Rhinolophus ferrumequinum: one gene and its partners. The protein of the gene in region 1 interacts with the protein of each later gene in a pairwise test. Links are inferred from orthologs where the notes say so. Each region holds a gene or a part of one and is shown on either strand. Other genes may lie near its edges. The genes, in order: keratin, type I cytoskeletal 15; ZC2HC1C; USP2; LDOC1.

The links.
Region 2: the proteins of keratin, type I cytoskeletal 15 (region 1) and ZC2HC1C interact in binary tests that used the Homo sapiens proteins (3 or more experiments, as listed by UniProt). The two-hybrid records come from large-scale screens. The link is inferred for Rhinolophus ferrumequinum from reciprocal best matches to the Homo sapiens genes KRT15 and ZC2HC1C.
Region 3: the proteins of keratin, type I cytoskeletal 15 (region 1) and USP2 interact in binary tests that used the Homo sapiens proteins (3 or more experiments, as listed by UniProt). The two-hybrid records come from large-scale screens. The link is inferred for Rhinolophus ferrumequinum from reciprocal best matches to the Homo sapiens genes KRT15 and USP2.
Region 4: the proteins of keratin, type I cytoskeletal 15 (region 1) and LDOC1 interact in a two-hybrid assay, tested with the Homo sapiens proteins (2 studies listed by BioGRID and IntAct). The two-hybrid records come from large-scale screens. The link is inferred for Rhinolophus ferrumequinum from reciprocal best matches to the Homo sapiens genes KRT15 and LDOC1.

Annotation. Positions count from the first base shown.
Region 1 is NC_046304.1:37,551,378-37,559,702, reverse strand, and holds the start of keratin, type I cytoskeletal 15, read left to right. Parts: upstream 1-5,217; 5' UTR 5,218-5,280; coding exon 5,281-5,760; intron 5,761-6,634; coding exon 6,635-6,717; intron 6,718-6,840; coding exon 6,841-6,997; intron 6,998-7,468; coding exon 7,469-7,630; intron 7,631-7,713; coding exon 7,714-7,839; intron 7,840-8,032; coding exon 8,033-8,253; intron 8,254-8,325. Other genes in the region: KRT19 (keratin, type I cytoskeletal 19), read left to right, coding at 1-68.
Region 2 is NC_046289.1:23,538,348-23,546,281, forward strand, and holds the start of ZC2HC1C (zinc finger C2HC domain-containing protein 1C), read right to left. Parts: upstream 3,149-7,934; 5' UTR 3,035-3,148; intron 2,058-3,034; 5' UTR 2,039-2,057; coding exon 710-2,038; intron 1-709. Other genes in the region: DNA mismatch repair protein Mlh3, read left to right, coding at 3,407-3,569, 7,774-7,871.
Region 3 is NC_046294.1:88,611,409-88,618,692, forward strand, and holds the start of USP2 (ubiquitin carboxyl-terminal hydrolase 2), read right to left. Parts: upstream 3,160-7,284; 5' UTR 2,985-3,159; exon of another isoform or gene 2,943-2,984; intron 912-2,942; exon of another isoform or gene 816-911; intron 1-815. UniProt on the Homo sapiens protein: Hydrolase that deubiquitinates polyubiquitinated target proteins such as MDM2, MDM4 and CCND1. Isoform 1 and isoform 4 possess both ubiquitin-specific peptidase and isopeptidase activities.
Region 4 is NC_046284.1:15,202,397-15,208,904, reverse strand, and holds LDOC1 (protein LDOC1), read left to right. Parts: upstream 1-4,137; 5' UTR 4,138-4,336; coding exon 4,337-4,780; 3' UTR 4,781-5,570; downstream 5,571-6,508. UniProt on the Homo sapiens protein: May have an important role in the development and/or progression of some cancers.

The DNA of each region.
Region 1 (8,325 bases):
CCTACCGCAGCCTGCTCGAGGGCCAGGAGGCCTATTACAACAACCTGCCTACCACCAAGACCGCCTGAATCCAGCAGCCTCCTGGGCTTCCTGCCGTTCAGCAGAGGGTTGTCCGTGGGTTGGGGCATGAGAGGGGAGGGACCCTTACTTCTGGCTCTTCCCCTAACCTGCCAATAAAACGTAATGGCCCAAGGCACGAAGGATATCGAGTTTGTTATTTCAGCCCATGGAAATGGGCCAGGCCTTGGCCCTGTTTAGGTTTTATTTGGACAAGAGTCCACCCTGTCCTAGGAAAGTGAAGGGATGGTACCCACAAACTGATTGTTACGGTAATTCCTCCTTGCAGAAGCCTTCATTTATCTAAACTGTTCCTTAAAACAAGTTTATGAAATAAGCATTGCTCCCATTTACATGGAGTAAACTAAAGCTCGGAGAGGTGAAGTGGTTTGTTGTATATATAACTGTTCTAATATGGTAGAGGTGGGATTTGAAACTGGTTTTTGCTTTCAGATTAGTTTTCTTTCCACTGTATTCCTGCAAAGGTTGGCGTTTGTTTGTATGAAATTAACGTTTACAGAGTATCTATTATGTGCCATTTAATCAAAACAACCTAACAGATAGTTAAGTACAAGAGTAGGAAATAGGCTCAGAGAGGTTAAGTAATTGTCCAAGGCCACACAGCAACTACATGGCAGAGTCAGGACCAGAATCTAGCTTTCCTGATTTTTAACCCACAGTGCCAATCCTGCACCCCATCTCCTAGGATTGACACCACTGTGCTCAGTACCTTTTAGTCTTGCTCCATGTGAAGGCCTAGGACTGGGATCCCCTGACACATTTCTCCACTTGACAGAAGGAGAAACGGGGGCTCTGGGGTCAGAGCCTGAGTAAAGGAGGCAGGCATCCTGCTCAAAGCAAGGCTGGAGAGTGTGCAGGCACTAACATGCAGGTACTAACACATTCATCCATTCCACATAAATCCCTTATGCCCACCAGCCCATACTTGGGCCCAGAGCCTGGAATAGGACCCAGGTGTGACCCAGACCTCCCGCACACCCCTCAACCTGGCTTGCCTGGGGCCGGTCTCCTGCCAGCTAAGGAAGCAAGTCCTAGCTTCCTGGTACAACTCTGCCCTTGGGTGGGTATGGTCCTGCCCCTGTGGTTTATGACTTAGCTGCCAAGAACTGAGGCCAATTAAAGGTAAATAAGTCCTACTTCATCCTGGCTGAGCGGTTCAGGCTGAGTGGATCTGTTCAGGCCCCAGGGATCTGTGACATCAGGCAGACTGTGAGGGAGAGGGTCAGGCAAGAGAGGAACACGGCCCCATCCGCCTCCAGAAGGTCTAGAGGGGAATGGAATGTTTGTCGCTGCTCTCAGGACCGAGCTAAGGAGGCCTGTGACACTGTCATTCCTCTTAGTATTCCTGAGGAGGTGCTCTTTCCTCCATTTTCCCCCTGCTCAGCCCTGGAGAGGTTCATTATCTTGCTCCAAATCATGACTGGTGACCCCAGAGCCCCAGTCTTCCCCTTCTCACCTGCTGTAGCCCTGGGCCAAGAGCCTCTTCTGCCACCACCCCAGCTGTTCTCCTGTACTGTTCTCCAGCACCCCTAGTCTCCCTCCCAATTTTCGTGAGGCCTTGGAACTACAGGCCTGAAACCTGGCTGCACCCCCAGACTGGGACTGCCCAGAGATATTTGTCCTGTGTTCATGAAAGCCTCTGTTGTCACAGCTGAAACCCTCCCCCATGCCCCAGAGGCCCTTGGAATGTGGCTGGGGGGGTGGGGTCTGGGCCCACACCGGTGCAGCAGGTGACTGGGTCACAGGTCTGGGTGTCAGGAATGAAGTTGTCCTTTGTGTGTGTGCCGGGTGGATGAGGAGGGCAAGGGCGGGGACAGTCTGGGAGCTGAAACTAGGGCTACTCTTGACTGATGCAACTTTGACAGAGGAAAAGGAGGGGGGGGATGGATTTGAGAGGGGCGAGGTCTTTCCACCCCTGCTGGTCAGATGACCACTTAAGTTTGCAAAAAGCATTTCCTGTTAGCCATATTGCTCCAACCCTGAGTAAGACTGGGCAGGGATTATTTCCATTTTCTGGATTGGTAGACTGAGGCTCAGAGAGAGCAATTACCCAAAGCCACATATCCAATAAATGAGAAAGGGGGAATTTGAAGGTAGGTCTCTAGGCCCCAGGTCATGCGCTCTGTCTCTAGCATCTCCCTGGGGCAGTGGTGGTGAGTGTGGATTCTAACATTTATGGAGCTCCCTCTCCGATGTGCCATCAAATGCTCACTGTGGCCTTGTAGCTGGGGAACGTGTAAAAGCCCAACTCTTTCTTTTTTTTTTTTATTGTGGTAAAATACACATAACGTACATTTTACCATCTTAACCACTTCTAAGCGTCCAGGTCAGTGGTATTAAATGCATTGACATTGTGCAATCGTCACCACCATCCATCCTCATAAACCTTTCCTCCTGGTCCTGTAAAACTGAAGTGCTATACCTGTTAAACAATAACTTCCCATTCTCCCCTCCCCCCCAGCCCCTGGCAACCGCCATTACACTTTCTGTCTTCATGATTTTGACTACTCTGAGTACCTCACATAAGTGGAAAAATGGCCCAAATTTAAGTCAGGAACCCGGCTCAGAGAGGCTGAGTCACACCCAGAGGTGGAGTCCAGCCCAGGCTCTTTCCACCGGGCTGCATCACCTGATCCCAAGGAGGAAAGGCTGGCTCTAGGGACAGCCTGTCTGTCTGTAGTGGACAAAGTTCTGAAACTGGCCCAGCCTCCTGGGCAGGCTGCTTGGGGCAGGGCCCAGAGATGCAGCTGGGGCCGGGGCCAAACAGAGGCTAATCTCAGCGCTGGCCAGTCATCCCCACCTGGTGCTGATATGCAGGCCCCAGAGCCCCACCTAGACCTTGAGCTCACAGGAGCTGTTGGGACTGAACCAGGCATTTGCAACTGAAGCAGCTGCCGCCCTTTGGGCCTGGAAGTGGAGGGAAAGCCACCCTGAGGGGCTGCTGGAGGGGAGTCAGGGTGCACAACAGGGGCTGGCTCGGGTCCAGCCCTCCCTCGCCCCGGGGTGATGGTACGTAATTTTTCCCCTGTTAATTGCTGGGGCCATAATGTCTGCAAAAGCTTTAATGAGCTATGGCTGATCTGACTTTGATTATTTTTCTTTTGGAGGAAGACAATATCCTCCCACCTATGAGACAATACCGCACTGTCTGGGACCAGCGCTTGGAGGCCCAGCTCACTGCAAAGCTGGGTGAGGAGGAGCCCACGCCCACCCACTCAGGCCTGCGGTCCCCCTCCCACCACCCCAACTCAGATGCAGGAATCTGTGGGAGGGACCCTCTTTTCCTGTCTCCTGGTTGAATGGTGGTGGGAGGGTTCAGAGGACCCATTTGAGTCCTGGTGATGCCCCTTGCTAGCTGCGCCACCTTGCACACATCGCTTCCCCTCTCTGAGCCCCAATTTCATTCCTTCTGAAACAGGATCAGGGATCATCTGTGAACCGAGGATTAGAGGAGGCGTTGGATACAAAGCATGTGGTAAACTGTGATGTGTGCAGTACACGTGCGGGATTACTGTGACAACAGCAATAATGACAGTGGCCTGCATTGCCCCACAGGCACTGGCTATGGAAGAGCACGGAAGAGCGAAGCTGCGCATAGGACATGATCTGATGTCTAAGGACAAAAGTCCCTCCTGGTGAGGGTATTCGTGAGTCCCAGATGATGGGCCTGTACCCCACTATCTAACCATTCAGAAGATGCGGAGCCAGGAGCAGGCAGGAGGGAGGCTCTCGGGCGTCAGGGCTTCTCTATAAGTGGGACTGAAAGTACCACTTGTCACAGGGAAACTGAGACTTAAAGATAACCTGTCTAAGATTTCACAGGCGGTAATGGATAGAGGCAGGGTATGGACTTTTGTCTGAGGGACCTCAGAGCCCTGTCCACCGCACTGTGCTGCAGCCCTGGGCCAGGGATCCTCCTGACTCTCCAGCTCAGTCTAGCTCACTTCCCCAACCCCTGTTCTCCCTAAGCCCAGGAGCTAAGGTCATGCCTCCAAGTGGCACTCCCCACAGGTGTCAGGTATCCCTGGAAAGCTGAGCCCTGAGCTGGTGTCAGAGCAAAGGGCTCCTCTCTCTGGCCTCAGCATCCTGCTCTGTGAAGTGGTGCTTCTGCCACGAAGGTCTCCCCCGTCTGCTTGTCAGGCCTCCCTATCTCCTCCCTCCCCCAGCTCCGGCACACAGAGCCCTCCGTGTAGGGTCCTTCCCCAGCCTTGCAGCTTCACAGGACAAACAGGGTTAACCTGGCCCTGGTGTGCAGGGACATGTCTCTCCCCGGAGAAGGCAGGGGATTCCTGAAACTTGCCCCAGTTTTATCTGCAGAGGTTTGCCCCAACGTGTCCTAGGAGCAAGCAAAGTTTCAGTGACATGTTGGCAGGTGGTGGGATTATCAATCAGCCCCTTGTCAGCCCCAAGCCTGCTGGCTTTTGTGAGAGTGCCAGTGCAGTGGGGGCTGGGGTGAGGGTGGATTGGGGGAGGAGAGGGGTAGAGGAGGAAAGTCCCTTTGTACCGTTAGGGAAGTGATAGATGCTGGCCCTCTGGTCACTTTCGCTGGAACTTGACTCGAGACCCGGGTCCCTGTCCTCAGCCTGTCCCCCTGGGCCCAGCATCCTTCCAGGTGCCTCTACCCACTGATCCCCAGAGGCCATTTTCTCCCCCGTTCCCCAGCCTTGTAGGCACACACAGGATCTGTGAGGGGGCCAACACAGAGCAGGATGGGAACTGGGAGCAGGTAGCTGGCTGCCTAGGGGTGAGGGTCCCGGCTGTCAGCAGCAGAGAAGTCCACCTGAGGGCAGAGCTGGCCTGAGCTGCTCTAACAGTGCTGTGGTGTGATGGGACTTTGCTCCGTGCCTGTTCTCCTGAGGTGCAGAGATGAACCTGAAATGCAAGCGTTAAAACCATGGCCCGGGGCAAACCACCATTCATTGTGAATCATCTCTTTTGTTGCATTAAAAAAAAAAAAAAAAAGGAAGAAAAGAAAAACTCCACACCAGCCACACAGAGGTGTGCAGGCAACTGTGTTTGTCAGGAATGCAGGAGTTGGCCTCCGTTTGGGGGAGGAGACGCGAACCTACAACACCCTCCAAGGGGTATATAAGAAGCCCCAGTCTGGGGGGTGACAGGCGCAGTGCTCTGGTTTCAGGGTAGCCTGCACCTCTTGCCAGCGTCGCTTGTCCTTGCCGAGAACTCACCGACTGCTGCCTGGCCATGAGCACTGCATTTCTGCAGACTTCTTCCTCCCCCTTTGGGGGTAGCTCTACCCGGGGGGGTTCCCTCTGGGCTGGGGGAGGTGGCTTTGGTGGGGGGAATTTCTTTGGGGGAGGTGGAAGCCGGAGTATGTCAGCTTCTTCTGCCAGGTTTGTTTCCTCTGGGTCGGGAGGGGGCTATGGGGGTGGCATAAGCTGTGGCTTTGGCGGAGGGGCTGGTAGTGGTTTCAGTGGAGGCTTTGGAGGTGGCTTTGGTGACTTCGGTGGTGGCGAGGGTGGCCTCCTCTCTGGCAACGAGAAGATCACCATGCAGAACCTCAACGACCGCCTGGCCTCCTATCTGGACAAGGTGCGCGCCCTGGAGGAGGCCAACACCGACCTGGAGGTGAAGATCCGTGACTGGTACCAGAGGCAGAGCCCGGCCAGCCCGGAGCGCGACTACAGCCACTACTACAAGACCATCGAGGAGCTCCGGGACAAGGTGAGTCCTCGGGGATCAAAGAGAGGGGGCAGGGGCCCTGCTCTCATCTCTAAGATCAGTGTTCCTGCTGCCTCGAGGAAAGCCTTTCCTGCCCAGGCAATGATTGCTGTGTGTAACCTTGGCAAACTTGGAATGTGGGGAATACATTCCAGGTGTGGATGTTGGCAGACATCTGCTCAACCTGGCAGTGCAGGGCAGATCCTGGGAATCTGGTCAGGACCAGCGGGGGCCCAGATGGGAGCAATCAGACAGCAACTGGGCTCTGCATAAGTGTCCCTTTGCTTCTTTTGCGAGAATGATGAGTGTAGCTTCAGGAACCCTGAGTGCCAGGGCCTCCTGCCTCACCCTCTGAGGATGTCTTTGGTGCCAAAAGCACTACTGGGACTTAGGAGGCCTGAAAATCATTATGGGCTCTGCCACCCACTCACTCTGTCACTCCCCTGGACCAGTTTCCTCAGCTGTAAGATGCCTTCATTAGCTGTACTCCAGGTTCTCACTGGCTGGAATGTTCTGTAGGTCTCTGGCTGTGTCAAGGTGCACAGGAGGCCAGCAACCCCGAGCTGTCCAAGGCGAAGCTGGTGGAGTATCCCCCAGGGGGCTGTTGTCAGAGCCCCCACCCCACTCCTAGACATTTAATTCCTACAGGGGGTGCCAGGCAATTCTGGCTCCTTGGTCTTTCATGCCCTGGAGACAGGGGCAGACGAAGTAGTGGACACCTGAGATAAAGCTGGACTCTGCCCGGGAACCCTACAGGCTCTTGGTGGTGGTAGCAGAGGAGAGGTTGTTGGTGGGGAGCCAGCCTGGGGTGCAGGGTGGGGACAGCAGCAGGGAAGAGGGAGGGGTTTTCTTGGCACCAACTCCCTGTCTCCTGCAGATCCTGGCGGCCACCATTGATAACTCCCGGGTCATCCTGGAGATTGACAACGCCAGGCTGGCTGCGGACGACTTCAGACTCAAGTGCGCTCCTGGCTCCCTCTGCCTTTCTGTGTTGCCCCCTTTTTTTGACCTCTCTCCCTCCCCCAACTCAAGCAGCCCAGACCCCTCACCCTTCCTTACTTTGGGTTCCCTTTCTCTTCCCAGGTATGAGAATGAGCTGGCTCTGCGCCAGAGCGTGGAGGCCGACATCAACGGCCTGCGCAGGGTGCTGGACGAGCTGACCCTGGCCAAGGCTGACCTGGAGATGCAGATCGAGAGCCTGAATGAGGAGCTGGCCTACCTGAAGAAGAACCACGAGGAGGTGGGGGTGGTGGGAGCAGAGTGGGGCCTCTAGTGCCTCCTCATAGTTGGCTGAAGGGCTTAGAGGTTCAGAAATGCACCCCCCACACACATACCAAAACAGGGGTCTCCCTGGAGAGGAGGGGGCACTGTTCTCTGGTGACCCAGACTCCTTTCCTTCTCTGGTCCTTAGCCAGGCCAGGTGACCAGTGGGAACTGCTGTCCTGATTTGCTTCATGAGCTCATGCAGGGCCTTTACTGTTTTGACGTCCTCCCTTGGAAGCACCTAGAGAGGAAGAGAGACCCTCAGAGCTGAGGGGCCCATGCAATCAAACCTCTTCCTGAACAGTGGGAAATGGAGGCTGGGTGGGTATGGGGAGAGCCAAGGTCACCTAGTGAGTTAGGGACGCAGCCAGGATTGGCGTGGGGGGACCCAGATTCTCCACCCTCTCTTCTGCCCTCCATCTCTAAATGGGCCCCACGCATCCTGCAGGAGATGAGGGAGTTTGGTAGCCAGGTGGCCGGTCAGGTCAATGTGGAGATGGACGCAGCCCCAGGTGTGGACCTGACCCGTGTGCTGGCGGAGATGAGGGAACAGTACGAGGCCATGGCGGAGAAGAACCGCCGCGACGCCGAGGCCTGGTTCTTCAGCAAGGTGAGCCTGACGTCCCAGCCTGCCCCAGCTCCCCAGGTCTCCCAGGAGGCCCATGGGCTCACTTCTTTGTGTGTGACCTGTAGACAGAGGAGCTGAACAAGGAGGTGGCCTCCAACACAGAGATGATCCAGACCAGCAAGACGGAGATCACAGACCTGAGACGCACCTTGCAGGGGCTGGAGATCGAGCTGCAGTCCCAGCTCAGCATGGTATGGCCACCCCACCCCACCGCACCCCACCCCACCCCACCCCAGTCTCTCCCACCCTTTGTGGCTGGTTAAACCTTGGTGTTCCCAAGCCCCCAAAGAGGGAGTTCCCTGCGTCCATTCAACGCCTCTCCCCCTGCCCCCGGTGGCTTCCTTCTAGCCTGACGTGGTGTCTATTTATCTGTTGCCACACCAGAAAGCTGGGCTGGAGAGCTCCCTGGCGGAGACGGAGTGCCGCTATGCCACGCAGCTGGCACAGATCCAGGGGCTCATCAGTGGCCTCGAGGCCCAGCTGAGTGAGCTTCGCTGCGAGATGGAGTCTCAGAACCAGGAGTACAAAATCCTGCTGGACATCAAGACGCGGCTGGAGCAGGAGATCGCTACTTACCGCAGCCTGCTGGAGGGCCAAGACGCCAGGCAGGTGCAGGGTGCAGAGGGAGGAATGAGGGAGGGGCCCATTCCTTTGTGGTTGGGGTGGAGAGAATCTTA
Region 2 (7,934 bases), on another chromosome or scaffold:
CAAACTTAATTGTGTTTCATGTATTTATTTAGAAGGTATATCAAAATTGAGCTAACTTTGGAAAAGTAGATATGGTTATAGGAGTGGTAATAAATCCTAATCTTGGGAGGTGGCAGAGAACAAAGAGCACGGAATTCACTCAAGATGGTGAAGTGCTGAATAGCTTTTTTTTTTTTAATATATTTTTCATGTCTTTAAATTTTCTATAGTAAATGTGTATTACTTTTAGAATCAAATGGATATATATTTTTTAAGTCTAGATTTTGGAGTCATTCTGACTCAGATTTAGATGCTGACTCTGTTATTTAAAGCTGTTTGTGATCTCAACCAAGTTAACCTCTCTGAGACTAGATTTTTTTAATTGATAAGAGATAATGAAATCCTCACTTGGTTATGGCGAGGGTCACATGAAAAGCTCCGGTCACAGTGACTGGCACACAGTAGTAATCAATAAATGTTAATTCCCACTTTCTCCCTACATGACACATTTTTTCTTTACAAAAATCTGATGATATACAGAGGGTGCCCAAAAAATGTATACACATTTTTTTAGAAAGGAGAAAACTGTATTAAAATCATAATACTCAATAGATACCGATAACAAAAGATGAATACAAGTCGTGTATATACATCTTTTTTGGTACCCCTGGTATATAACAGGTCCTTACAATGATCCCCACTCAAAGTCAAATCCATAAGGCCCTGTTACCTTGACTGAGGCTGGTCCCTTCCAGTTCAAGTACTGCTCTAGTTCTGTGCCCTTGGCCCGGGCCCTAGAGGAGTCAAACACTTTCCTCTTGGAACCATGTATCCTGCTGCAGACGTTGGAGTGTCTCTCCAGCCTGAGCAAGAGAAACTTGCGTCCACAGTGGCTGCACTTGCCAAGTTCTGGCTCTTGAGTGGAACAGCTGGAACCTGAAGAGTCTGGTGCCTTAGACAAGCTAGAATGGCGTGTGGATCCTGGCAAAGCACTGCCCGGCGCTTCTGAGGGCTGAGAAAAGTTCTGCTTCAACGGCCCCGAGACGTAGGCTCGGATTTTGTTATTGCTTGCCATTAGTCTTTCCCTTCTGAGCTTCTGTATTCCATAATCAGAAAAATGGAATGGACTAGAATTTTCTTGAGACCGTCCCCAAGTTTCATCCTCTTGCCTGTCTCGACCGAAGACCTCCTTAGACCTGTTTTCTGGGGAGAAGATAGGTTTGTACACAGTGTTGCTATTACCTTTACTTCTCCTCCTGGGAAATGTCATTCTCTGTGGCTCTCTTTTTGCCTTTTCCTCAGCCTGTTCCTTTTCTTTATGGATCCTTCTGAGTTCCTCCTCTGTCTTCTTCAGCTTTTCCCTTAGGAGGCTCTCTTTTCTTCGGATTTCCTCCTCTAAACTTTCTCCAGCAGCTTCTAGTCTTTGGATCTGTGTCCATTCAGTCCCATGGCGGTTTGGCATGGCCCTCTTCTCCTGCGTGGCAGCAACAGTACCAACCACAGATGAACTCACCCAGTTCCTTGAACCCAAGCTGCTGTATGAAAACTCTCTTGGCTCAGGGGGTCTGGGAGAGACATTCTGGTCCCCATCAGTGCCAGTCTCACGTGTACTACAAGACTTCCGATGGAATACGGGTTTCAGTGGGTATGCCCGGTCCACTCCAATTCGTTTCTTTGTAAAGGGGATGAATTCCTGGTTATGTGCTTTGGGGTACTGGGATTGAGAGCTTGATGAGTGAAACAAACCCTTTGCTTGGCCCCAGAGATTGTTTCTGGGATCCTGCTGGCTGATTCCAGCACAGTGGGGATGGTAGTAGCTCTGGGCTTTGGTGCAGGCGTTCCATTTGGAGTGAGTGTACAGATTATCCAGCGCCAGCTCATTGTTGCTCAAAAGCTTCTGCTGGGAATTGTTCCTCAGGTGCCCCATCGAGGAGCGCTGGGAAGAGCCATCTTTTTCATAGTGGTCTTGCTTAGCGGAATGGTTCCCTGGGGCATCTGCCTTATTATATGGGAGCATAACGCCCACAGGCAGAGGTGGAGCCAACTGGAGACCAGCCATTCAGGGCCTGGACTGAAGCCTAGGAGAGATTAAACCAGATATATGTGAGAAGTTTGTCTGAGGTTCACCCTGGTTGCTTAACTCAACTGTTTCTATCATACATTTGTCCTACCCACATTTTCCTTTAAACTTTCTAGGGACAGTGGTACTGGGTCTGCCAGAGCTCTCATTCAATAAGCATTTGGTGAGTGCTGATTATGTCCTGGGAGTGCATGTTAGGTCCTGAGGATAGAAAAATGAATGTGATATAGGTGTTCCTGCCACCTAGCTTTCCTTTATACCAGTACCAGCCTCTGCCATACAGTGCTGCGCCTGCCACACAGAGTATAGGCCATACTCGGTGGAAAGAGCTATTGGATTTGAAGTCAGGTTGTAGGCCTGTGACACAAGACGAGCAACTTCCCCTTCTGGCTCCAGTTTCTTCAGTACTCCTGCGTGGTACTGTTGCTGCCACGCAGGAGAAGAGGGCCATGCCAAACCGCCATGGGACTGAATGGACACAGATCCAAAGACTAGAAGCTGCTGGAGAAAGTTTAGAGGAGGAAATCCGAAGAAAAGAAACTGAGTGGTTCCCTCAGAGTTACATGACTGGAATTTAGGGACCTCAGGATTCCAAGTCCAGCCCCATCCTTTTACAGGTGAGAAAACTGCGGCCTAGAGGTAAGTGCCAGGGCTTCCCTCCTGCTGGAACCATGCTTGACTCCAAGGAGCACAGACGCTGCCCAGGGCCTGCAGCAGGGGCCTGGCTATCAAACCCTCACCCAACGAGTCCCCGCGGCTCAGAAGGCCAGGGGTTTGTAACTGAGAAGCGGGGGCCCCCTGACTTGGCCGCCGTGGGTTTTAGATCCGGAACGCGGAAGTCACGTTCCGTTCTGGAGGATCAGGCGGGGCGCCCCACTGGGGACTCTGCTTTGGGGACAAGCCCTCGCTTTTCTGTCTATCGGGCCTTTGGGAGGTCGAGGTGCTGACCCCACGTCTCCCCGTCCTCTCGCCTACCTGAGGCTCTCCAGGACAACTCCTGCTCAGGGGCAACCCCAAGACTTAGTTTTCCGGACCAGAACCCTACCAACCGACCGCCGCGCAGGCGCTCTCAGCTGGCCCCTGTTATTCCCGTTGCCTAGGAACGGGGTCGCGTGCGCTCCCAGCCCCGCCTCTCGCCTCTGTCGCCGCGGGGAAAGCACGCACAGGCGCAGTCCCGCGAGCGGTAGGGAGCCGCCCCGGAGGGAGGTGAGGTGCGCCGGGGTGTCACTTGACCCGGTGTCCGGCCAACTCTACAGCTTCGTCCAGCCCAGCCCTTGGGGAACAAGGGAGGGGACGGGAGAGGTTTTTCTGGGGCTCCATCAAAGAACTAGTATTTTTCTGAGAGCGATGACCCCAGACCCCGTGGTGTGCCCTTCTCGGGCAAAAGACGGCGCCCCTAGATGTGCCCTGGAGTCGTTCAGCCGCAGGATTCCGATGTCCGCCCCCGTAGCGGTAGTGAGCCTGCTGATAGTCTTGCTTAGCACGCTCGGCTGCTTCGTGCGCGCCCCAGGTATGGCTACACTGTCTCTCCGTGCTTTCCCTCACCAATAGTTTGGAGCTGGCGGTGAAATTATAGCAACTTGGCTAGGTTTTGCTACGCAGTATCTTTCTGGGATAGTTTTGTAGCCAGTGTAATTATTTTGATACGGTGTCTTACTCTCACGTGGTAACTCTGGCCGTCTCTTCATAGAGCCCAAGAATGACTCAACCACATGTAATGATAATAAAGTTAACTACTAGATCGAAAATAAGCAGTATAGCCTGGCTTCAACAGTAAGTGATACTCTGTGACCTGTTAACATCAGAAGAGTTTATTTGCCTTCATGCTTCAGTTCATTTGTGTAAGCTGTTTGGAACAGGCAACTGACTTTTTCCTTATAACTACGTAAAAGATTCATGCACATGGACGATAATATAGACAGTAGTAGTCACTGTTAATACTTCAACATATCATTACAGCTTTTACATATTACAAAGTAATTCCTTGTTGGGCCCTCCAGGGCTTTTCTTTTCCCCCCTTGTTTTCTTTCCTGGTTGACTCCCTATTTGCCTTCTTTATAGGACTCCTATATGGAGTTCCAGACATTTCCCACTCTTCTCAAGAGTCCAGTTATCTCAGCAACCCGCCTGCCTGTCAACTTCCACAGCTCCCCTCTAGTCTGGCCGAATTTCCTGGAGTGCTGACTTCCATCTTGACTTCCTTCTTGTTTTTTGAGGAAAAAGAATCTTTCTCTTTCCATGTGTTCTATTGAATGAGTCCCTTTCAGCATCCTCTAGGAATGGACTCCATGACTTTACCCCTCCATCTTGTTAACGTCAAGTTGTATCAATCCATATACTTTGGTTTTAAAATATGCTTAACTTCTCCTGCAAAACGAACCTCATTTCCCGTGACCTGTGGCCCCTTCCCCTAGGACCCCATTTATTTCTCCTCTGCTCCTCAAGACTTCTTAGTAGAAATTTTACATTTGCTGGCGCCCCTTCCTCGTCTCCTCTTCATTGTTCAGTCCATTGTGGTGTGGCTTCTACCCTTTCCACTTTGTTTAACTGCCAGGCTACCAGTGACTTTCCAATGACCAAAGACAAAAGCTGCTACTTCTTCAGCCTATTCATTTAACATTACTGACTTTTTACTTCCTTGGAACTCTGTTCTCACTTGATCCTGTGCCTTCTTGGCTTCTTTTTTTGTGTTCTTGCTCCGTCTTCTACAGGGCTATGTCTTTTCCTCACCTGTCCCCCAAATTTAGGTGTTCTCCAGAGCCCTCTTATTTCTCATATACATGCAGTTCCAGACTGCATATGGTTTCAACCAAATACTGAAATTTCAGGTGTCTTCTATGTTTAAATGGCATCTGGCTTAGCTCTCTCTCCTTGGTTACAGACTCAGATCTCCAACTGTCGATTTCGTTCCTCAGGAACCTCAGACTCAATGTAACAGAAAACAGACTCATGATCACCTCCCCACTCCCCCAATCCACTTCTTCTTCAGTGTTCCCTCTCAAACTAAAAGCATCAGTCACCTTCTACATCTCCCTCTTTGTCACACTCCCCTCTAACTGGTCAGCAGGCTCTGTTGAATTTATTCTGCAGTGTCTCTTATATATGACCCCTCCTTTACATTTCTACGACCCTAAGTGAGTTCTTGCTCACTTCTCATTGGGACGGCATGCATCACTCACCTAACTGCTATTCTTCCCTTCAACATCTGCATCCCAAGCCCATCCTTCATGCTGCTGCCAGAATAATTACCTACATAGTAATATTATTGTCCTACCCAGTGGCTTCTACTTTACCTATAGAATAAAGTTGAAACATGTAATCTGACATGGTATTTCCACCTACCGGATTAGGTCCAACCTACCTTTCCAGCCCTGCCCCCCCCAGAGTCTAGCCCAGTGAATCTCAACCTTGGCTGCGCGTGTTGTGCATGCTGTCCGTGCTTTAGCACTACCTGGAAGGCAATTTCTGGGGGTATCATCTGTATATCAGCATTTTTTTTTTTTACCATTGTGAGCAATGCTGTGATGATCATTTGTGCAATACCTATTTTTGGGATGGGTATCAGCATTTTTAAAAGCTTCCCTCCAGATCCTAATGTGCAGCCAGGGTTGAAAACCCCTGATCTAGCCACCCCTGACTAATTGCACTTTCTTACCTCAGCAGTACTACCTTACCCCAAGCTCCACATACTGGGAGGTGGTAGACATAGAATTTATGGGAGGGGGCTCTGTACTCAGACTGCCTGCAATTAAATCCCAGCTCCATCACTTACTGGTTGTGGTTGTGTAACCTTGGATAATATTTCCTCCAAGAATGTCTTCCCCATCTTCCCAGTCAAAATTAATCTCTTTGTTCCTTTATGCTCTCATGATGTTTTCTGTTCTGGTTACACCACAGGCCTGGCTTATGAGGAGCTCTTGATTGGTGTTCATGGAACTGAATTAGCATGTTGTACATTGTATTGTCTTTATTTGCATGCATGTTTGTTTCTTACACTAAATAAAAAACTCTTTGAGGACAAAGATTATATATCATTCAAATAATCTTTATATACCCTACAGTGTCCCATAAATAGTAGACACTCAATAGGTCTTTAATTCTATTGAGAAACTAGTTTTTTTAAAATGAATTTTGGAGAAAGAACACCAGCCAATTACTTTGTTTAGCATTATTTTCAAATATTGCCAAGCATAACATCCAATCCAGCTTCCCACCCTGCCCCCCACCCCTGTGCTAGCACTAAGGTTATATTTTCCAGGATCCAGAGCCTCACTTTGTAGTGGGGAACTAATGGAATGATTCCATTGCAAATCCGTCTCACCTTGCCAAGTCTGCCAATGTGGCATATTCACATATGGAGTCTTATGTTATGAAGGGATGTAATGTATACAAGCAATCCAAAGGGAACAGTAAACACAGTTTTCCTGCATACACATTCTTAATCACAAGGATAGCTGTATTCAAATGCCTACAAGGTGACCCTACTTTAAACAATCATCACGCACAACACCCCTTGACAATTCCCTTTGCCCAGAAGAAATTTATGCAATTTGGTCATTTGGCTTACATTGATTGATTCAATTGTGGTTCTGGAGCCATGGGTTATTTTGCTTGTGCTTGGGATTGATTTAGATAAGCGTTATTTGGAATGAGCAGCTTCCAGAAGCACAGAAAGAGAAATAACCACCCCTAGGACCTCTTACACACTTATCCTCGCTACTCCTAATTCCAGACTTAGGCATGACTTAAAATTTGAGAACTGAAAGAAAAAGTCAGTGCAGAAAGGTTGCATGTATTCTATTCAATTTGTTTGTTTATAATGTTTAATGTTTATTGCCCGTCTCCCATCTCCAGAAATTAAGCTCCTCTGGGCCAGAATCCTTTTGTTCACTGATGTATGTCTACCTAGAACTGCGCCTAACACACAGAAGGCTCTCAGTAAATATTTATTGAATGATTGGATTTATCTCAAGTGCTTCATCGTCTATATCTTTCTCCCCATGAGAAAAATGAGAAAAGAGGTGCTCTTGGTGACTGAGAAGGGTGAGGGCTCGGTCCGTAGAATCCGAGTTGAGAGTTCCTGGACAGATCCCCAGCCCTAGGCTCCCGAGAGGTCCCAGACAACCGGCCTCGAAATCCCACCCTCTGGGCGGGCTCTGGGCAGAGCCTGCCGTCCCTGATTGGTCAGCAGACATGATGGGCATGCGAAACAGCGAAGGAGGAACCCGCGCCCTGAGCTTCCGGGCGCGGCGGTTACGCGACTAGGAGAACCGTTGCGGTGGTGGTCGGGGTGTTGTGCCGGACTTAGAGGGTGAGCGTAGGACGGGACCCGGGGCGTGCCCATCAGTTCAATTGGCCCTAAAGTGTTGCTAGAAGGAGATTCTGGCGGCCGCGTGAAAGCCAGGTCCGTGGGAAGAGGAAGGGATGGAGAGGGAGCAGGACTGGTGTGGGGAGGTATTTGGCTAAACAGGTAATTGTCTCAAAAGAGGCCTCTGTGGGCAGTCGCGACCCGAAGCTCACTTGCCCAGGTGTCTTCTTCACACACCGTCGCTTACGCGTGTCCACTAGCGTACTCTGGAGTTCGGGGAGCTTAAGTCAGGGAGAGGTCGCAGTGGTTAAGAAGTGTGGATGTGGCCCTTTCTGCCTCAGAATTGGGGTTGCTGACGTAGGATAATGAGTTCTGTTTACTTTTCTGCTTTTCTGGTTTCTGACAGGTTTGAGCATGAGTATGGCAGAAGGGGACACCCTAATATCGGTGGATTATGAAATTTTTGGGAAGGTGCAAGGGGTGTTTTTCCGCAAGTACACTCAGGTATGTGGCCTGTAGACTTTGGGGACATGCCTAAGTTATTTCCTGACCGATGTGCATTGGGAG
Region 3 (7,284 bases), on another chromosome or scaffold:
CCTGAAGGACAAAGTGGGCTGAGAGAGGGGCCCTGTCTCCCTTCATCTACACTCTCCAACCTTCACTCTTAGTTGCCCTTAGTTGCCCACTGTCTGGGCACATGCGTCAACTCCTGGGTCAAGGGATAGTCTAGCAGGTGTGGAGGATGCAGGTAGAATGGAGAAGGGGAACGGGGATATTTGTGCTCACATAATCCAGGAGCTCTGTCTAATTCTCTCAGGCCCCCAGGAGCCTCAACCTGTCCCCTCCCCTCCAGCCTGTCACTAGCAGCTCTGTCTCTCAGGGGCTGGCACCCAGTAACCCACCAGTTTAGTGCCTGATTGTCTTGCATGCCTTGGCAGGGGGTCATCCAAGGAAATTTGGGTCCATTTCTGTCTCTTGACTCCCACTAGTTGCCCAAGGGCTGGGAGAGGGGCAGAAGAGATAAAATAAAGAGATTAAAGATTAGAACAAGAATTCTGATTGGTGGAAAAAAAGTGGGTGGGCCTAGGATAGTGTCCCTATTGGGCACTTCCTGATTTGGGGTTGGGAGGGGGTAGGCATCCTAAACTTCCAAGAAAAGACAATGAAATGCCCCTCCCCCCAGCCTCAAGCAGTACTGGAATCCTTAAATACCCTTTTCTAGCCACCTCTGTCCAGGCACTCTCCTGGTGTCCCCTCCCCAGGGGAGAGTGGCTTTGTCGTCAGCCTCTAGCCTTTGGTCTTGCCCACAGCACCCACCAAGCCCAGTGGGGCGACCTCTTAAATGTTCCCCCAGTAGACAATCTGTTCAGCGGATCTGCAGAGCTCAGATACTGAAGGGGCAGCTACTGACCTGTGTCCGGGGGCAATGGACAGGATCTGGGGGCTTCTCCTTCCCCAGCAGGGCCAGGAGCGCAGTAGAGAGCTGGGAGACTGGAGTCTGACTCTGGGCTGGGTAATCTGGAGCTCAGGTTACTGACTCTGATATATATATAGTATCTTATCTGACCTCAGAGGGATGGCTAGCTCAACTCACTTGCATTCCAAACCCGGGGAGAATTAAAGGGGCAGTGACAGGCCCTCTCTCGAGGGTCTGCCCTGATGGGCCAGCATGCCAGGCAAGGAAATCCAAGAGGACTCTTTGAAGGGGGTCATTCTGACATGGAACAAAAGAGGGATTCAAGGGGAAACAACTGGAAAGAGGGCAGAGGGATGGGGCTGGAATTGAGGCAAAAATATGGAGAAGGAGGTGTCAGTCACAGAATTAGAGAAGAGGAAGAGGCCACAGTGCTAATCCAGTTCCTTCAGTTTTGAGATGCAGAAGACCTTGAGATGGCCAGCAGCTTGCTCAAGGGCGCACAGACAGTGGGAGGCAGGAGGGACAAGCTCTCAGGTTTTCAGTCCAAACTCTTTTATAATAGACTTCTAGGCCTGGGCTTGTATTCCAGTTCTTTCTCTTTTATTGACTCTGAAACAGTGGGCAAATCACTTAAGCTGTCTGAATCTTAGTTATATAATCTTTAAAACTGGAGTAATAGTCAATAATAATGCTACACCTCAGTTGTATTAGATAAAATAATATTTGTAAATTTCCTCGCGCATACTAGGAGTACAATAAATGATAATTATACTGAATACTTCCACTTATCATACTTAGTGGTAGTATTTGTAGTAGCATCTCCCAAGTAAACCAGAGAGAAAACCTCTGGTTCAGAGGATGTGGGGCATTACCCCTCCGAGTGCCCTGTTCCAATGACAGAGAACAGCCCCAGGCTTTTCTGAGCTTGTCCATGTCCCATAACTGGCAAGGGCAAATGAGGTTTGCTATATTCCCAGCTGTCCACCCCACTCAGCCAAGAAGGGCCAAGCCCATTTGGGCTCCTTTCCCCTTTGCCTGGAAAAATATAGCAAATGCGGCTTCTCCCAGGCTACCAGGAGAAAGCCCAGCTGCTCTGGGGTGGCTCCACTCTACCTGTAGGAGTGCTCAGGATTCCAAGGCCACAGAACTGGGCTGGTCAGGGTCATAGGAGGAAGGAGCTGGATTCTTAACCTCTTGGGCTTTGGTGCTCTTGTTGGCTCCCAGTCTGTTTCTCGATGGTGCTCTCTGCGGACTGGGAGTCCCCAGGCGGTGCCTCCACCCTGTTTCAGCAGAGACTACTGACTCAGCTTGGGTCCTGATGATGCACTTCAGAGGATGCCCTTGTCCCCGGCCCTCATTCCAGTCCTCATGATGATTCCAGGTTGGCATGCATCTACAGCATCAAAGGAGTAGGGGATGCCCCAAGCCCCAGCCTAACCAGCTTTCCTTTCCTCCACTTTATAGGGTCCAACTTGGGGAACCTTCTCATACCCTTGCTTGGGGAGGTGAGCATCACTACAGTCTCCAACTTAGTCCCATTCTAGAAGCAGCCAGGTCGGGAAGTCGATGTTCTCTCCTCAGAGAACAGCTAGAATGGGATGGCCATGACTTGGCTTGGCTAAAGTTATTTGCCTTGGAGCACGGCACCTGCATCTGGTTTGGGATTGTTGAGATTTTTCAAAGATGCCTCTTTCTGGTTTGGATTTGGTGGAAAATCTTCCCTTTCTACTTAACTGTTGCCCTCTCCCTCCCCCACCTCCTTTGGCAAACTGAGCAGCGGCAGCCCTCCCCACCAGGGAGTATGTGAACTGCATGCACACCTGAGGAAGGGACTGTCATTGTCCAGGAGGCACTCTCAGGCCACATACCTCACGGCAGAGACCTGGACCTGCCGAAGCAGCATTTCCTTAGAACACACTGACCAGCACACAGATGGCTCTTCCTGGCACCCTGGGCTGTCAGTTGGCAGGTTCCCCCCCCCCCCCGCGACACCCCCCCCCCACAACTGGCACCCGCAGCTGGAGCTCCTCCCAGTAGCTGGCACTCGCCCTACATTTCTAGTAGCCATTCTGCCTAGGCTGTCGTTGACACCTCACTTTCTGAGTCTCAAACGGCACTGACCTCTGCATCCTTCCTCCCCAGCCTCCGACAAGTGGCATGTACCTGCTTCTTCTCACACGATGGACGAGTCGAGCCGGGCACAAGCATGGAGCTGCGGGTGAGTCCCGGCTGGTACTGGCGCGGCGCAGTGAGCAGCTGACGCTGAGGGCTCCCTGGCCTTGGCTCTTGCTGGCCTCTCCTCCACCTCCGCCGGGGGCCCAGAAAGGACCTCCCCGGGAAATCGGTGCCACCCAGCGGGCAGCCGCCTCATTGCGCCCGGGCAGGCAAAACCGCACCCCACGTTTGCGTCACTGAGAAGCGTCACGGCTATTGGCTTGTTCCCATTATGGCGTCATTAGAGCCCCGCCCTCATAGGGGTCTCCCTGGCAAGATAAATGGAGAACCACGTGGAGGAAAAGCTTGCGAGTTTTGAGGGGGATGAGCACAAAAAGAAGTGGAATGGAATGTCACACCAGGGGGCAGCTGGAAGGTACTGGGAAAGTTGTGGGGAGAAGGCCCAGAATTTGAGCCACCTGGCATATATATCAATTTTCAGTTTTTAGGGAGGGGCCGGGAGAAAGCCTACTCTTTAGCCTCTTCTTTTTCTCTACTCTTAAAGACACTCCTCATTTTACTAACAGGAGACCATCGATCGGGATGACTTCTTCAGTGGGTAAACAAACGGAGGCACTGAGTCAGTGGAAGGGATTCTCTTTGGTCTTTTAAGAAAAAGCTGAGACAGAACTTGAATTTTTGACATTCCCATTCTTTATTTGTAAACTTTCCCTCCTTTACCCATGAAGGTGAATAAAAACACACAGCCAGGTAGATTGGTGTCAAGGCAAATCCAGGTTTTCAATTTCACCTGGATCATCAATCCTAGAAAAATAAAGCCAGTACAACGCGCACCACCCCCACTCCAGGAGAAAGTCCAGCTGCTTCGGAGTGGTTCTACTCTATCTGTAGGAGAGCTCAGGCCTTGGCTCCTGCTTAGCTCCTTCTCCCATTCTCCACTGCTATTATTTCTGTCCATTACTATTCTCCTTAAGTCCTTCCGTGTTTTCTATTTTGCAGAGAAATTATAGGCAATCAGGAGACAAATACTTAAATTTCTGCCTACAAACATATATGAATCCATTCTTACCTCTACTTAAGGTAAAATGTGGTGTGTCTCTTCTTGTTCAAGACAAATCCCTTCTGGGTCTCAACCCTTTGTTTCCTTAGGGCCCTTATCTGGTCACATTCCACATATGGCTATTGAACGAGCCAGGTGCTCTTCTAGGTTTTGGGGATACAACATTGAACAAAACAGGCAAAATCCTTGCCTTCAAGTGGCTTACATTCTAGTAGAGGCAGAAGGACAATAATCAAATAAGTAGGATATATAGTATGTTAGATGACAGTAATAGCTATGGAGGCAAATAAATCAGGAAGGGGGATATGGAGTGTGTAAAGTATGGTCAGAGATGGCCTCAATGAGAAGGTGACATTTCAGTGACCTGAAGGAGGTGAAGGAATGAGCCATCTTGATATCTTGGGGGATGATGCTCTAGGCAGAGGGAACAGTAAATGCAAAGGTCCTGAGGTGGGAGCATATTTGCCACTTTTGTGGAAGAACCAGGTCAGTGTTGCTGGATTAAAGAGAGAGCGAGAGAGTGGAGATGGGGTCAAAGAAAAAAGGGAGGGACTTCAAATTGGCTCTAAGGCCAATTTGATGAGTTTGGCTTTTACTCTGAGATGGGAGCCGTTGATTTTGAGCAGAGGAGGGACATGGATCTGACTTTTTTTTTTTTTTTTTAACAGAATCCTTTTAGCTGCTGAATGGAGAACAGATCTGAAGAGAGGCAGAGAAGAAGCAGGAGACCATTTAGGAGGTTCCTGCAATCATCCATGAGAGCTGATAGTGGCTTGGGTTAGTGTAGTGAGAGGTGGTGAGTAGTGGTTGGATTCTGAATGTATTTTGAATATCCTGCCAACAAGGTCTACTGTGAGAGAAAGGGAGGGATTTTTCGCCTAAACGTTGAGAAGGTGTAGGCTGTGGAAGGAGCAGGTTTTGGGGTGGTGGGAGGTCACGAGCTTGGTTTAATACATATTAAGTTTGAGATGTCTATCAGGCACATCAAGATGTCAAGAAAGCGGTTGGATGTACAAGTTTGGCTAAGTCTGGGTCAGAGATATAAAATTGAGAGTCATCAGCATATGGATGTTATTTAAGACCATGAGCTTAGAAGAGATCACCAAGGGAGCAAGTATAAATAGAAAGATGTGCAAGGACTGAATCCTGGAGTTCTTCAACATTAAATGACTTTAGAAATGAGTAGGAACCAGCAAAGAAACTTAGGAATGGCCAGTGACATAGGGAAAAAACAAATCTAGGAGATGGTGATATGCTGGAAACCAAGAAAAGGAAACTTACCAAGGAAGAAAGAAATAGAAATTTTGTCAAATGCTGCATGTAGGTAAAATAAGAAGAGTCTGAGAATTGATTTAGAAGGTTGTTGGTGACTTTGACAAGAATAGTTTTGGTGTGTGTGGGAGTGAAATCTCGATTGTGGGTGGGTTCCAGATAGAATGGGAGGAGAAGGATTGATACAGTACTGTGTAGAGAATTCTAGAGTTTTGTGGTAAAGGAAGTAGAGATTGGGTGGGTGCTAAAAGAAATGAGGTCAAAAATATTTCTTAAATGGCAGAAATAGCTATATGTTTGTATAGCTGATGAGAAGGAGCCAATAGAGAGTGAGATTTGATAATGCTGGAGAGAGAGGAGAGTAGCTGGAGCAATGTCCTTGATGAGGTAGGAAGGGATGGGATCTAGTACAGAGTGAGGGCCTGGCTTGGTTAGGGGCACAGAGAATTCATCCAAAGGAAGAAGAGAGAAGGCAAAATATTTGCAGGGAGGTGAATGGATGTGGTAGAAGCTAGTGGAGATTCTCTCCTGGTGGTCTCTTTTCTCTCAGTGAGTTAGGAAGCAAGGTTAGCTGAGAGTGAATCAAGGATAAAGGAGGAAGTGTTGGAAATTTAGAGAGAGAGGAGGAGTTGTAAACCAGCCACCTAGGGTAGTGGTTCTCAAACTTGATTGGGTATCAGAATTACCTACAGAGTCTGTTAAGGCCCCACCCAGAATTTCAGATTCTGGAGATCTGGAGTAGGCCTCAGAACTTGCATTTCTAACAAGTTTCCAAGTGATGGTGGAACAGCTGGCCTGGGAACAGCCCTTTGAGAACCACTGTGCTGGCAAATGGGAGAGAGAATGGATTGTGGAAATATAGTAGGGTTGTCAGGCATCCTCAAGGGCCATTAGAAATCATGTATTGAACTGTCTCTCTTCAGCATTTGTTCTCATGTTCACAGTCACTGTCTGTCACAGGTTCAGTCTTGTAGCTTTAAAACTTTCATTTTCTACTGACATTCCCTTTGACATATAATAGTCTCCAAATTCTTCCTCTTTGCAAAATAAAAATCTATAGCTTCGGTTCTTGCTCTTTCCTCTTCACAGTTCTCTTGCAAGAGTTGTGCAGGCTGTGTTTCCCCACCTCCCTGTCTGTGCAGCATCCTCATACCTTCTACCTCTCAGACATCAGGAAACTCTTCTTACCCAGTCATTGTGATCTCCTACTTGCTAACTCCAGGAGGCCTTTTTAGTTATAATCAGTTAATTGCCCTCCTCCAACTATTTCCTCTTTAAAGTTCTTTCCTCCTTTAGGTTTTATAATACAGTGCTTTTCTGGTATTCCTCTTGACAGCTCCTTCTCATTCTCCTTTTCCTCTAGTGTTCCTTTATCCTCTTTATTGCTAGTGTAGCTTATAGCACAGTGATTGTTACACAGTAGTCCACTTTATCTGCAGTTTCACTTTCTGTGGTTTCAGTTACCCACGGTCAACCGTGGTCCGAAAATATTAAATGGAAAATTCCAGAAATAAATAATTCATAAGTATTACATTGCCCACTGTTCTGAGTGGTATGATGAAATCTCGTGCCATCCCACTCCATCCGGCCCCGAATGTGAATCGTTTCTTTGTCCAATGTATCCGCGTTATATACGCTATGTGCTTGTTAGTCACTTAGCAGCCATTTCAGTTATCAGATCAACTGTCGCAGTACCACGGAGCTTGTATTCAAGTAACCCTTATTTTACTTAATAATGGGCCCTATGGCCATTCACATAACTTTTATTAGAGTCAATTGTTATAATTATTACTTGTTGATCGCTTACTGTGCCTAACTTATAAATTAACTTTATCATAGGTAGGTATAGGGGAAAAACATAGTGTACGAGGCCTGACAATTAGGTTTGCGAACTCATCCTACAAAATACTGCATACCTCATTATTGAATATCATTACAGTCACCATCAAAGTACTC
Region 4 (6,508 bases), on another chromosome or scaffold:
CCATGGATTCATCACATCATATCAGATCTTTCGATGTGGGACTATGCTTTTATCTGTAGCATATCATGAGTGTCTTCATGTTTCAGTTCTCTACTGTCATGAAACAAATGATCCCAAAATTTTGTGCCATTTTATTTGCTCATGATTCTGTTGATTTGGAATTCGTGTAGGGCTTAGCCAGATGTTTTTTTGCCTCTCTATGTAGTCAGCTGGAGTCATTTAGTCAGCTTCATTCAGGCAGTGATTCTGCTGGCCTGGAAAGTCCAAGGAGGCCCTTCATTCTCATGTTTGTTTGCTGCTTCGCTCTTCCTCCACATGACCTCTCTTTATCCATGTGGCTAACTTGAGCTTCTTCACAGCATGGCGGTCTCGGGGCAATTAGACTTCTTATCTGGTGGCTGGCTCTGAGTAGGGAATATTCCAAGTGGCAAACACAGACTCTTCAGATCTTTAAGGCCTTGCTTCATAAGTTATAAGTTACTTCCATCATCCTTTATTTGTCAAATCAAGTCACAGAGCCAGCCCAGATTAAACAGGCAGGGAACATTGTTTCTACCTCTTAATGGACTAAGTGGCAAAGAATCTGTGGTTATCTTCAATTCTCCACACTCATTCTGCCTCCTAAAAACTTTAATGTAGATCAAAGTAAATGGCCCATTTGAAAGACAGGCCTAGTCTACATTTAAAACCAAACAAGTAAACACAAATTATGACAGGCCGCTCTTAATATCTCTAACAACAGATTTAACATGATGCCAGATACTTTCTAAAACATATGAAAATACCAGAAACAAACCAAGTGCATAAGCTCTTGTATGTTCAAAGTGACGAATTATATTGAAATAACTAGGAATGAGAACAACAATTTGTATAATAGTAGTATAATATACTATAGGCAATAAATTCTATTTTATAGTAATATAAAAACATATACATGAATACAAATTAATAATAAGACATTAGTTCATGAAAATCATCATTCAGTTATAGAAATCTGATTTCCCAGTTCCATATCTCTGGGACTGTGAGTATATTTGGCACCATCCGTCTCCTACTTCATCTGAGAAACTGAACAGAATATTATAATATTATATTAGACCCGGTCTTATGTTATATTAAGACCCGGTCTTATATTAATTTTTGCTCCAAAGGACGCATTAGAACTGATTGTCCGGCTAGGTCTTATTTTTGGGGAAACACGGTATCTCTGTGTCTCCTGACATGTAAGGTTTGACACATATATGTGTTAGCAAAACTATGTATATTAGGATTCTGCAAACATTTTATATGTATATACATATATATGTATATCTTTATCCATTCATTTGTTGGTGGACACTTTGATTGTTTCCATATATGTCTATTGTGAATAACGCTGCGGGATCAAAGAGGCAGCCCAAGTCAATCGCTAGAACCGTGTGGACAACAGGAAGTGTGTTCCTGAGAGTAGAACTCTGGGCATCTTTTCCTGTAGTAGGGTCTGGACATGGAAAGTGGAGCTGGATACTCACTGCTGCCCAAAGCAGGTCCACCTTCCACCCTGAGCTGTGAATGGACAGCATGGCCAGAAACCTACCACTGACATTTCCTGTGCCTGTATTTCATCCACTGAACATTTATGGAGCACCCAATAAACACTTTCAGATGCTGAAGGTCAAAGGATGAGTGAGAGAGGGTCCCTGCTTGGCCTCCAGGGGCTTCTCATATAGTGGAGGAACTCATATGACAGGCGAGCCCAAGGGCTCATATTCCTTCCCACCTGCTCTTTTCCCCGCCCACCGAATCAGCAGCCTGATCCTTCCTCCTCTCCTTATTGGACCTTGGCCCTGTTTCTCTCCTTTCTCTCAGCCTCTTATTTCCATGAATGCCCATTCAATTAAATTTGATTGTGAAAGGACTGAAGAGGGTTTTTCAAAAAATTACTTAGCCATTTTTATTATGTCAGTCATCATTTCACAATGGAGACTGATTCTTGATCATAGATAGAACATACCAGACAGTTTGAAGAGTATTTTTGGACACTATGCAGCCACCCCTTCTAAATCTTATTTCAACATTATCTGCACCCTGGGATTCTTTCATTCACCACACATTTATGGAGCTTCTACTCTGGGCCAAGCATTTTTCCAGGCATTAGGAATACAGCAGCTAACAAAGCAAATTGTCCACATAGACTTACATTCTAAAGTGGAGGCAGACTGACGAACAAAGTAATATATGACATGATGGCTGCTAATGAAAGGGTGAAATTCAGTGAATCAATAATGTAGTTACACTTAGCTAGTTTGCAGTTAGGTCCATCCTGACATTCAGCTGTTTTCTCTGTTTCTCCGCTCACTGACTGACTTAAAAACTCTGTTTTGTTCCCTTTCTCAAGGCTACCCATACCTCATTAATCCATTTACTCAACAGAATCCTAACCTGAAAAGAGCGATTTCTTAATCCTCAGGCGCCTGGACACTGGAATCCGTTTTGCAACTCCCTTGCAGTTTTTACTGGTGACACATAAAGCCCCAGGCCATGGTGGCCAAGTCCGGAGATAACATTATCTTAAAACAGACCAGACCCCATGAACTGAGGACAGTCCTGGGACCTGATTGACCCACCCGGCCTTTCCTTTGTTCTTCTCGTGTTCCTATAAAACCTTCTGACCGGTCTAGGAGCGAGGAGATGGACTTTGGACAGGAGTCCGCCATCATCCCAGAATGCTGGCATTCTGAATAAACCTGCTTTTCTTTTCACCAACCTTGTCTCTCCATGTTTAACTTTTTCAAGCGGCAGGCAGCCGGTCCTTAGCACGGTATCGCTAGTCTGATAAATGCCATGTAAAGAAATGAAGCATGGTGAGGGGTTAGAGATTACTGGTAGAGAGCAGGGTGCTAGATGAGGTGGTCAGGAGAGTCCTCTCCAAAAACATTAGGAGGTGGAGTCAGGCAGCTAACAGGGGAGAGCCTTTGCAAGGCAGAAATGATAGGAAGTGCAAAGATCCTGAGGCCAGAGCTACTTGATGCGTATGAAAATCAGTAAGGGGGACAATATGATTAGAACAGAGCAGGGAATGGGAAAAGGCACAGAGGGTGATGCAGGGCCTTGACTGCTATGACCCAGATTTTGCTTCTTCTTTTGAGTGAGAAGAAAAAACCGTTGGAGGGTTTTGCACAGGGAAAACTTTTGTTCTAAAGAATTCCTGTACCTACACTGTGGAGAATACATACACTGGAGGAAGAGAAGAGTGAAAGCTAAGAGATTAGTTGCAGCAATCCAGGTGAGAAAGGAAGGCTGGGATCAGGGTGGTAGCGGTAGAAGTGACACGAAGTGATTGAATTGGGGATCTCTTTTAAAAGCAGAGCCCACAGACAAAGTTGGCTCTAAGGTCTTGGACACAACTCAGTTGTCAACAACTATTGGAGTAATCACATTCAAAGTAGAAAAACAAAACCATTTAAAAACACAAGTCTTCATTGTTAAGCAAAGAATAATACCCAGTGGCCAAGGGACACTAATATTATGAAGTGAAATAGTCAAAGATAGCAGGATGCCTGCATATGTTTGTCGGATAATTTTGCAGAACTTTTTATACTTCGCTATTTAGAAAAATAATAATGAAAAACGACAGATACACAATATTATTTCCCAACTAAAGAACAATCCCTGTTTAAATAATATTTTGTCTGAAAGACAGGACTCCTGAGGGTCTTTCATTACTCGGAAAGAATGTGTGACTCCCGCGTTGCGGCCAGCAGTGCTAATAGCTGTCTGGATGGATGAAGTTTAAATAAGCAAGAAAATGTGTTAATAAACATCATACAAATGGAATCTAATGGCCACAGGCCCAGTAAGGAACATTGAATTGGGTGACTCAGCTGGGATGAAGGGTGGTTAACCCTTTAAACTTGAGCAGGTTGGCCCTCTGTGAGAGACGGGTCTTAGGGCTCGCTGTGTCCTGGCTAATGCCTGTCCCACATACCCTGCCTTTATCCGCCCGCCGTCAGACCTACCAGCCCTGGGCCCCGGGAACCTGCCCGCCCCTCCCCTGGCCACGCCCTCCGTGGTCACGTCGCCGCGGCCCTGCCCACCCCCTCTGACCCCGCCCCCACGCAGCGCCAGTGTCTTCTCTGGACACGCCCCCCCTCCTCCCTGGGCCGCGCTGGCGCGGGGGCCGCGCCCGCGGCTTTGTGGGCGGGTCTTGCGCAGCCGCCGGGACCCCTGCGTGCACGGCTCTCCACCCCTGGCCACCCGCGCCTCCGCGGACACGCACTTCCTGCGAGGCCTCCCTGCGCACCTTAGGCGAGCCGAACCCAGCCGAGCCCAGCCGTGCCTTTCCAAGCGGTTCGCCATGGTGGACGAGCTGGTGCTGCTGCTGCACGCGCTCCTGGTGCGGCACCGCGCCCTGAGCATCGAGAACAGCCAGCTCATGGAACAGCTGCGGCTGCTGGTGTGCGAGAGGGCCACCCTGCTGCGCCAGGTACGTCCGCCGAGCTGCCCGGTGCCCTTCCCCGAAACGTTTAACGGCGAGAGCTCCCGGCTCCCCGAGTTTATCGTGCAGACGGCGTCTTACATGCTTGTCAACGAGAACCGGTTCTGCAACGACGCTATGAAGGTGGCGTTCCTAATCAGCCTGCTCACCGGGGAAGCCGAGGAGTGGGTGGTGCCCTACATTGAGATGGATAGCCCCCTCCTAAGTGATTACAGGGCCTTCCTCGAGGAGATGAAACAGTGTTTTGGCTGGGATGACGACGAAGAAGACGACGATGATGACGAAGAAGAAGATGATTACTAGGCCTGGAGACCCTCGGGCCTAAGGGGGAAGGGCTCTGCACGCCGCCACCTCCCTCCCCTCCTTCCTGCCCCTCCCGGAGCCACCGTACTCCCCCTAATCCTCCGATCTTCTTCCCTCCCCCAACCTCTGGTCCTCTCCCTCATCCCCCGGAGTGCTTGTCTTTGTTCCAGAAATTGTGCTCCAATTACGTGCTGGGGCTGGGGGTTTGCTCTGAAGCGCGCTGCCACCCACTCTGGCCAGCCCTGGGAAGCACCCCTGCAAATGTGGACTGTGTCCTGAGCCCCAGCGCTAAGGCAGGTCCCTGTTACCAACTGGTCAGATTATGCACTGCCCTGCCAACTGCCAGGCCAACATCTGCCCAGAGAACTACGCTGCCACGACACCACCATCCACCACGTTCTTGCGACTGACCACCGCCTTTGGAGATAAGGACCAACCTACAGGATGCCTGAGTTGGCTACAGCTCCTTGGACATTTATTTGGACAGCTCACAACCCCCGAAGGGGCCAGTCTTTCGACCTGGTTAGTTCCCTACCTATTTCCAGAGTCCTCCCCTACACCACCAGATTGCTGCAGGGGCCTAGTGTGCCTGGCAGCCAAATTGTTGACATTTCTTTTCTCCTATGCACTACTTTTGCACAGCTGTCATTTTCTTTAAAAATTGCAGCAGTCTCAAAAGAAAAACAGGCACTCAGCCAAGCTTCTCAATACTACCTGGAAAAAGCACTTGCGTTCTTTTCAATAAATATCAAGCACTACGAAAAAAACAAAAGGAGTGTCTTTTAATGGTTAAGTGCTATCACTGGCCCCTACCACTTTCACTCGGCCTCCCAGTATTCCCACTGAGATCAGGTAACTTAGTTCAATCCCAGAATTCCCCACTGTCATCTCTAGGCTACAGAGGACAGCTACCATAGGGCTTTATAGGGATTCTGGTGCTCCCCCTACTAAGGCATTTCTTAAAGCCCTGGTGAAGGGAGTGTCCTCTGGGGCCTCCAGGGTGGCATGGGGTAAGGGTGGCCAAGCGGGTAGCACACCATCTCTAACTGGGACACTTGGGAGTGAAAGGGGGCACTATTAATAATTAGGCTGGGACACCAGGCATGAATCTGGACACATACAATGTTCCTATCTTCCTGAGCCTTTGGATTCTTTCCTCAACCCTGCCAGGGAAATTCGGCCCCTTAATCCTTACTGCCTGTGGGGTGCTGTGGAATTCAGGCTTTAATTAACAATGGAGCACAGTATTATCATGCCCCTTTCAGGTGCTTGAGCTAACATTACATTCTGGATCCTGAGTAAGTGCACCTTGCTAAATAGAGCCTGATCTTAACATTTTATTCTCCTTGGGCAGACACCCTTAGAATCCTCACCCATTCATGTGCCCCAGATTCCTGCCTAAGAAATTGGCAAGATGCCTGGCTATCTCCTCAACTGGACCTTGTGAGTTATGCTGAGATCTGTTTGTGGGCCTGAGGGGCTCAGAGGTATTGAGGGAGTAGGGAGGGCGCTGAGAAATCCTTATCCCAGGGTAAGTCATTGAAATGTTAGGGGGTTTGTGGGGGCCACCTCTGCCAGCCAGGACTTTCAGGAGGATTTGAGGAATTCAGAGTTCTCAGTCTCATCTCTGTCTGCCCAAATGTCATTCCTTGTACCATGCCCGGAGCCAGCCCTACCTTAGGAACTCGAATGAATTTAGGTAATAAATTTCCGTATTGTTTAAGACCT